Linked DNA regions of Nothobranchius furzeri. The protein of the gene in region 1 purifies or fractionates together with the protein of each later gene. This does not show direct contact. Links are inferred from orthologs where the notes say so. Each region holds a gene or a part of one and is shown in the gene's direction. Other genes may lie near its edges.

Evidence for each region. The genes of interacting proteins can lie anywhere in the genome.
Region 2: the proteins of cbx3a (region 1) and wdr5 purify together in Homo sapiens (affinity purification with mass spectrometry; 3 studies listed by BioGRID and IntAct, with this or other methods). This does not show direct contact. The link is inferred for Nothobranchius furzeri from reciprocal best matches to the Homo sapiens genes CBX3 and WDR5.

Annotation. Positions count from the first base shown.
Region 1 is NC_091751.1:29,401,553-29,405,726, forward strand, and holds cbx3a (chromobox protein homolog 3a), read left to right. Parts: upstream 1-1,513; 5' UTR 1,514-1,662; intron 1,663-1,675; exon of another isoform or gene 1,676-1,993; intron 1,994-2,176; 5' UTR 2,177-2,180; coding exon 2,181-2,323; intron 2,324-2,472; coding exon 2,473-2,629; intron 2,630-2,732; coding exon 2,733-2,827; intron 2,828-3,074; coding exon 3,075-3,201; 3' UTR 3,202-3,562; downstream 3,563-4,174.
Region 2 is NC_091746.1:41,695,167-41,699,590, forward strand, and holds the start of wdr5 (WD repeat-containing protein 5), read left to right. Parts: upstream 1-1,579; 5' UTR 1,580-1,766; intron 1,767-2,573; 5' UTR 2,574-2,599; coding exon 2,600-2,677; intron 2,678-2,863; coding exon 2,864-2,972; intron 2,973-3,378; coding exon 3,379-3,452; intron 3,453-4,003; coding exon 4,004-4,093; intron 4,094-4,424.

The DNA of each region.
Region 1 (4,174 bases):
GCAGCGTGCTTCTGTAAGGTTTGCTGAGTTAAATAGAACAATTCTAAAACGGTCTCACGCAACTTCTTTTGTTTGATTTCCAGTTTACAGGGATGACTTTCTGTGATTTTTGGCTCCAGTTTCATCTAAAATGGATTTTCTTTCTCAGTGAGATTGTGTGAGGTATTCTAATCAGTTTTTTTCTTGTTTATAATTGTTTTATAATCTCTTTACTCCTAAAATACACCCAAAATGATACATAAGGTTGTATCTATGTTACAAAGACCCATTCTGGAAAACATAATTTCTCACTTTTCCCATAAAGATGCTTCTAAATGGCACAAAAAGGCAAACTTTACTCATCTGCTGACCCTTTTGTGCTTTACTTAAGTCAGCTGATCTGACATGAATCCCCTCACATCTACTAAAGCACAACCTCACCTAAAAATAACTTTAGAACAGAAGAAATCCCCTGTCATGCAAAATATGTTATCCACTCGCTACACAAACAAGAATGATTGTTGTCTGTTTATATGTTTGGGATTATTAGAGAATGCAATATGACAGGCTGAGTGTTTGATTACACTAGGGCAGGGGTGTCCAATCCTGGTCCTCGAGGGCCGTTATCCAGCACGTTTTTCGTTTTAACCTGCTTCAGCACACCTGATTTCAATCAGCAGGTGATTAACAGGCTTCTGCAGAGCCTGATGAGCTGCTGCACAGGTGATTCAACCAGCTAATCAAGCATTTTGAAGCAGAAAAACCACAAAACCTGCTGGTTACTGGCTCTCCAGGACCAGGATTGGACTCCCCTGCACTAGGGAGTGTATAAACTTAATTGTGATCCAAAGATCATGTTTTCTCTTTGTCCTGGTTTAAACGTTTATTTGTGTGCATTTCACTTTCATACATCTTGTTTTTTCATGCATGAGTCACATTTGTCTGTCTGTTTGCGGTGATTATTGAAAAGATAAATCTGATTGAAGAATACTTGATTTCTTTATTAAAAACATTTAAATAATGTCTTGTTTTGTCTGGCTAACAGGTTATATATACCATTACTGTTATGGTGCTGCGTGCTGGTGAGCATATCAACATTATTTTCCTCACCTGAGCTGAACACCTGTGTTGACCGGCATCATTTCAGGACAGAAGGCAGACAGATTTATTAAAATATGGCTGTAAAGCATATTTAACAAATACTCGTTCAAAATCACAAGCCAGTCATTTACGGTATTCAGTAGAAAGTAAAAGAAATTGTTTCACTCAGTCTGAGAACAATCTAAACAACTTGAGACATCAGGTGCTCAATTTAATCTGAATTCAGCATTAGCATTATGACTTTGGGGTCAATTTGTTAAATTTTTCATTTTTGAACAATCTGAAAAAGAAAATGATTGCTAGTGTTTATGCTTTATTCCTTCCACTACTTTATAGTTTAAAACATATATAAACGTTTTCATTTACTACCAACGTGTCTCAGATTGCGTTAACTAGCGGCTTGAAGCCTTGGTTCATGAAAAGGGCCCTTCTGGAACACATGGGTCAGCTCGGCTGCAGACGAATCGCTTTTCCTTCTGGGCTTCCGTAGCCACAACTAGTTTTTGGCGCCGCCTTCGTTGTGGGATCGACTTCATCCGAGCGGCGTGGTGCTGAACAACTATAGAAATCCGCGCGCTTTGGGTGAGTGTGCGGAGTTCTTCTCTTTTAAAACAATGTTGAGTATTTCTTTAATTACATCAGGCTACTCTGAGCGTGTTAAAACGCCACCTATACGTTGCTGGTTTTTTGACAAACAGCAGTTTAGTTGTTGACCCAGCAGCGTTAGCATCGCCATTGTTTAGCTATTACTGTAATATGTTAAGCTAGCTGAAAGTAAGGCAAGTAAGGTGTTGTTTTGTGGGGATGTGTTGTAGTTTTACCACAGTTTTTATTTTATCTTTTACAATTCTACTAATTCTGTTGCTCAAATAAAATCCGCAGATGAGACTGTTTAAAATCAAGGAAATTTTAGGTAAGGGGTCAGCGTGTTAGCAACCTTTGTTACGTTTAGCTGCTAAATGCTGAGCTAACTAGCAGGTGGGCCAAATTAGAGTAATGTCCTATGTTAGCGTTGGCTGAGTTATTTGTAGCCTAGCATCCGGGTGGATTTAAGGCCTTCCGAATAAATGCGGCTCGTCTTTTTATCTTTAAAAAGCAAAATGGGCAAGAAACAGAATACAAAGCCTAAGAAGGAGACCGAGACCCAGGAGGAGCCTGAAGAATTTGTTGTGGAGAAAGTGTTGGACCAGCGGATCGTCAACGGGAAAGTAGAGTTCTACCTGAAGTGGAAAGGCTTCACAGAGTGAGTTACCCGGGACAATGTCCTGCTCTCTCCGCCTCTAACGCACCGTGGCTGCATGAAGCCTCCCAGCTTTTCCCTTTTAACACGTTTGGGATGTTTTTGGTTTGAACGCTAACCTGTTTTTTTTTTTTTTTTTTTTGCTCCCTCAGAGCGGACAACACCTGGGAACCCGAGGATAACCTGGACTGCCCCGAGCTCATTCAGGCCTTTCTGGATTCCCAGAAGAATATAAAGGAGAAGCCGGCTGCAGTGAAGAGGAAGGCCTCCACAGATGATGCAGAAGAGGAACCCAAGAAGAAAGATGTGGTTAGATTATACGTTTTTTATGTCTCTGACCTGCTAGCATGATTCCCTGTAGGTTGTGCAATCAGAATATGGTTTATAACCTGTTTTTGTTTTTATTTGACAGCCTGATAAGCCTCGCGGCTTTGCCAGGAACCTGGAGCCAGAGCGAATCATTGGTGCCACAGACAGCAGCGGGGAGCTGATGTTCTTGATGAAGTGGTGAGTTAGGCAGACTTTACACCCAATTTCAACAAGAGTAGTTTCACATTTACCTCGGTTGCTTTGCATGGCCATTAGTGTTTTTTTAGGGAGTCGAACTAAAAGCGGAAAAGGTTTATTACAAACATGTAGAGTATTTAGAAATAAAATCACTTGAATATATATAATTTATTTCTTTGATTTTTAAATAGGCTTTTCTAAGATCTGCTGTTTTATTTTAGTTTTTATTTATTTTTTTGTCCCCCAGGAAAGAGTCAGATGAAGCAGACTTGGTCCCTGCTCGTGAGGCCAACACGCGCTGCCCTCAGGTGGTCATATCCTTCTATGAGGAGCGGCTGACGTGGCATTCCTGTCCAGAGGATGAGGCTCAGTAGCCTTTGCCTGGATTCTGCACACCTTTATGTTTTAGGTTTTTATTGTGTTCTCTGTTCTGCTTTTTTTTTTCTTCTTTAGCTACTTTAGCTGATTTGAGACAAAATCATTTGTATGGCAGTTGGGGTATTGTAGATTAAAAGTTTGTCAAAGCAGGTGACTGGGTTGGATATAAGATTAGTCAAAAAGCGATAATGTCAGTCCACATTCCAATTTGTTTATTTTTTTTACTTGAGTCTATGTCAACCTTTTTGAGTTCAGTTAAATGTTTTGTTCCTTGATGCAAGTGCCGACGTGTTTGAAATGAACGCTTTGTTTACAGTTTGTAAATATAAAGTTCAAATAAAGGTTTTATGTGGCCTAGTTTTACCCTCTTCATTTGTAGTTTAGGACAAATGCATACAGAAAAAAGAAAACCTAAATGTTGCTTTATTAAAAGTGTCACAGCCAGCTGAGTGGTTCTGTCAGGGTATCAATCCTTGGCCTACATCAGAATGTTATTTTGGCAGCAGCATTCTGATCTCCTTAGAGGAACAGTGGTGAGATATTTATCCAAGGAGGACCATGAATGTCCACACCTGTCTGGAGCTCTATCAGCTGCTCATTCTGTTCTGCACTTGGTGTAAATGAGGCTTCAGTCTGCTGGTTCTCAGTAATGGATAATGGTTGGTTTCTTCTATAACCACTTGTAAAGACACATTATGGAGTTTATTTTAAAAGTAACTGGTCACATGTTAACAGCTATTTGCCTGTCGGAGATGTTAAACTTCCAAAAAAGCCTGGAACAGCTGGCAGGAAGTGTTGATGAATGGAAACATTTAAAGGAGACTAAAATCAGTCCAACCATAGTTTTACCTGTCATTTGATCATTGCATCTCACCTAATGATGCTCACACTAAAAAGGTAGAGATCGAAGACTTGGCTTTATCACCTGTAGTAGACTCATGGATGGTGACGTAACCTAAAACTTCATAT
Region 2 (4,424 bases), on another chromosome or scaffold:
TCCACTATCCAGCAAGTTTTTGTTGTTTCCCTGCTCCAACACACCTGTTTCAGTGATTAAATTACAGGTTCAACGAGTCATCAAGCTCTGCAGAAGATGGTCGTTAATTACCTGCTGATTACAGTCAGCTGTGTTGAATCAGAGACCTCTCTAAATTTTGCCTTCTTCAAGCCAGGAGACTCGTAACCAACGTGCACGTTCAAAATATTTATAGAAAAAAAATCTGGCGGACGTGACAACGTGCACGTTAGCCACAAGAACAGAACACGAGACAAAGCTCAGTTTAAAGTTAGAAGACATTTGTCAACATGATTTCAGATTCCCGAAATAACTTGTAAAAGCTTTTCATAAGCGGTGACGCAGAAGATATCGTCAAATACTTTTCGTTTACAGTGAAAAACGTGGCGTAATGTACGAATGAGACTAAATGACTAAATAAGCGAGATGGTTTTACTCAAAATGTATTAAAATGTAGGTTTGGACAAAGCGACATGATTGGCTTTAAAACGTTTCAAATACTTATCGTGAAATAAAAACACAAGTATGCACGATGTTCGTTAGCATAAAGTTAGCTAGCTGGTTTGGTAAGGGACACTGCAGCGGATGACAACACACTTTGTGACACCGACTGTTGATATAAGTTTCGAAATACCAACTACAGGTTTTGGTTAAGTAACGTTTGCTTTAATTTGGGGCAAAATGTAGCGCCAATAAATAAGCTTGAATTAAATTATCATATAACGAAGCGAAGAAGTCCGCTTCTTTAAACACCTATTGTTGTTATGGAGGAGGCTAACCGCTAAGTAATGAGTAAAAATAAGAAAATAACAACAGAAGTGTTTACCAACTCATTTAAGAGGGCGTGTTGACATGGGAGCTTGACGCTGCACGGCTTGGAAGAAAGCTCACCGAAGCCAAAACAAACTAGTGAACACCAGAGTGCAGTGTGTTCAAAAAGAACTAGAAACTTCTTCCCCGACCTATTGCAGCCACGGCTGAAGGGACAGGTCTGGTGCTCATAGCGCCATCTGTTGAGCCGGAGAATCCAAAGCGCGTTCACAGCTGATTTATGGTAAAAGTGTGAAATCTGCATTTCACAAAATCATATTTATAATTGTGGAAAGTATTGAGCTAAAAAGTAAATGGTTAGGGTTATATAAATAAATGCAAGTGATTTACTATGAAAATATCACAGTCAGTAGTTCATAACTACATAAAGCATAAAATAAGGTTACGACGTATTAAAGATATGTAATTTGTTTGTTTTATTTAGATTTTTGTTTGCTGTGTGTTTGTTTCTGTTTCATGTAGACTTTTCCTTTTTGCATATTGATTGACTCTGACAGCCACAGCCTGGTTTTTAAATGGCTACTGCCTTTCATTGAAATTTAGATGAAGTATTTCACATAATGTACTTCTACAAATTCTCTGTTGAGAATTTTTGTCATTTTAAATTTAAAAAATACAAACTTGTAATAAATAAGATTAATTAAAACTATTGGGCTCTTTTCAAACGGCAGTCGAAACGATTTTTTCATAATTGTCCCTCATTAGTTCCCGTCACTTTTGAACGTCATGCGCCTGCGCAAACTGTAAGCACATTCCCCGCTTCACCTCGCAGCTCGTTCCTTTACCAGGCAAACATCCTCAAGCAAATAGCTTGATTTGTTCTTTGTTCTATCTCTCTTTAGTTATTATACGGACTGTTTTAGATTTCCAGGATTTGCAAGGAGTACCAGTCTGACTGTAGATCTAAATTGATCAACGTAAGTATCGGTGTAAAACCGAATCTTCATTGTTTCAATGGAGGCCCCCTTCGTGGCTGCATAACTTGTCAACAGCATCAACTGCATGTCAAAACTGCGATTAGCTTCTTCATATAACTGTGGCGTTCATGCCAAAATACATTTTATTCCGCGAGACAGCCTCTAATCTATAGATCTTCACGTTGTTTTGTTCGAAGGTAACCCAAGTATATTCAGGTGTTGAACTTTACAGCGAACGTACTCGTTCTCCCTTTGTTTGCTTTTATTTTTCGCATAAATAATAATTCGAAGCAAAAACGAGCTGGTGTCAATGCATTTGAAGGCAACACAAGATGGTAAACGGTAACCGGACAAGGGGGTTGGCCTCAATCGGTTTTCATAGTAAGAGCAATTTAACGTTAGCTAACTTCAGCTAGCTGCATTAGCTAATTTTATAGCTAAACGGACCCTAAACGGGCATTTAAATACTTTTGAGCATCACAGCCTATTAATAAGCCTAATTAAAGTAAAATTTACATGATATATACTTAATTTATCTTATTTAAAGTAAACCCCACTGTTTATTTTAGATCACAGTAAAGGAAGCTAATGCTAACAGATAAAACAATAGTTTTTAATCACGTTTACCTTAATGGTGGTTATTAGCAGTCATCGAGCTGGAGGGTTTATCTTATTTCTCCAAACTTTAAAATTCCGGGTGTTAGAAATTGTAAAATTTCCACCCAATAACTTATCCCAGTTGTTTAATCTTTAGGTTTAACTTGCCTGATTTATTAACTTTTTTTATGGTTTCTTCTTTTGTCTCAGGTGCAATAGATGCTGATTTCCTCACCATGGCAACAGAGGACAAGAAACCAGAGACTGACACCAAGCCTCCAGTTGTCCCATCAGCCTCTGCTAGCCAAAGCAAGGTCTGACAAACCCAAGTTTTGGCATTGCCTGTAATCTCCCACCCTGTCCTCTTATGATAGTTTAATTCTAAGTTTTTGTTAAGGACTGTCAATATTCCAGCATTATTTCGGATTTTTTCTTTCTTTATTGAAAGTATTTCATCATGTTTATTCATTTGCTAAATTAGAACTGGTTTTCTTTTGCAGACTGCACCTGCAAAACCAAACTACAGTTTGAAATTCACACTAGCGGGACACACTAAGGCTGTGTCCTCGGTTAAATTCAGTCCAAGTGGAGAATGGCTCGCCAGCTCGTGTAAGCATCTCATTTTGAATCATATCTTGTTTAAATCTCAGCTACCTCAACATAAATCTTCTTTCATTCCATAATAAAATGTATTGGGTTTTGTGAAACTATGTTTGATCCAGAGCTTTTTTTAAAGTTTGATAAAACACTTGTACTGCATAGATGAAGTGTATTTTGTGCTCTAAGTTAAATGTAAATAACAATAATAGCAGTGCTTTAGTGACTAAATATTCTTATGCAATTGTGAAATTTTTATTGGTTTTAGTATTTATCTTTGGGTACACTCGTTTCATTTGAATATCTGATCAGCTGAAATGATTGAAATGGGGAAATTATATATTTTTTACCATTTTGCAACTTTTCAGTCATTTTTTTTCTCTTTTTCATGATGTCTTTTTCATTGTTTGTGTTACAGCTGCTGATAAACTCATCAAAATCTGGGGCGCTTATGATGGCAAGTTTGAGAAAACCATTTCTGGACACAAACTTGTGAGTAGAAGGGACCCTTACCTGTGGCACTGTTGTGTTTCTGCCTGCAGGACTGTATTAGGTAGAGTTTCACCGCTTTTACTAAAACATCAAAGACTCCTCCCACCCTGGTCATTACTGTTTTGGACTCTTGCCGTCCAGTTGGTGCAAACAATCCCCTTCCCCACAGCAGTAAACTAAATGTACTAAAACCCTCTCATGCGCATTAGAGCAAAAACCTCAGTCACCAGTGCAATAAGTCTAATATAAAGTGAATACATTTACTGCTGCTACATATCTAGTAAACATGTACTTCTGTTTATATATTTATATCTGTTCTTTTTTTCTTCTGTTATTCCAAACACACCATTTGAGTGCCATGCAGCAGCAGAGGGTATTCACATGCAGTGAATAATAAAAACTTTGAGTCTGATCTGTTTGGTCGTTCAAAGCAAGAACAAGATTGTATTTACATTTTTAGAAGATAAACATGAGAAATGACTCCATTGTTTACTCTTGTATCATTTTATGTCCTTGAAGCCTTGAGATCTTAGAATTTCTTTATTTTCCAGGGAATATCTGATGTGGCCTGGTCATCTGACTCCAACCTTCTTGTTTCTGCGTCGGATGACAAAACTCTGAAGATCTGGGACGTTAACTCGGTAAGAATGTTTTAAGGTGTGGTTCATTGAAAAACCTTTTTTAATGATTATTTTAGTTACTCTGAGGTTTTTCATGCAGGCTGAACATGACAAAAGTCTCCTATCTTCTGGATTAGCTAGAAAATAGATGGTGAAAGTCTAGGGTTAGAAAATCCTGACAGATCCACGTTACACTGTCACTAAACATTCATGGGCTCACCCATCTTGGCTCATGACGAGGACGGCTATTGTTGGTTTAGCGTCCAGAAAACAGCATAGAACATCTCGGCTGGTAGAAGCTAACCGTTAGCATTAGCAACTCCACCACACAGCAGAAGCTCATTCAGGCTTG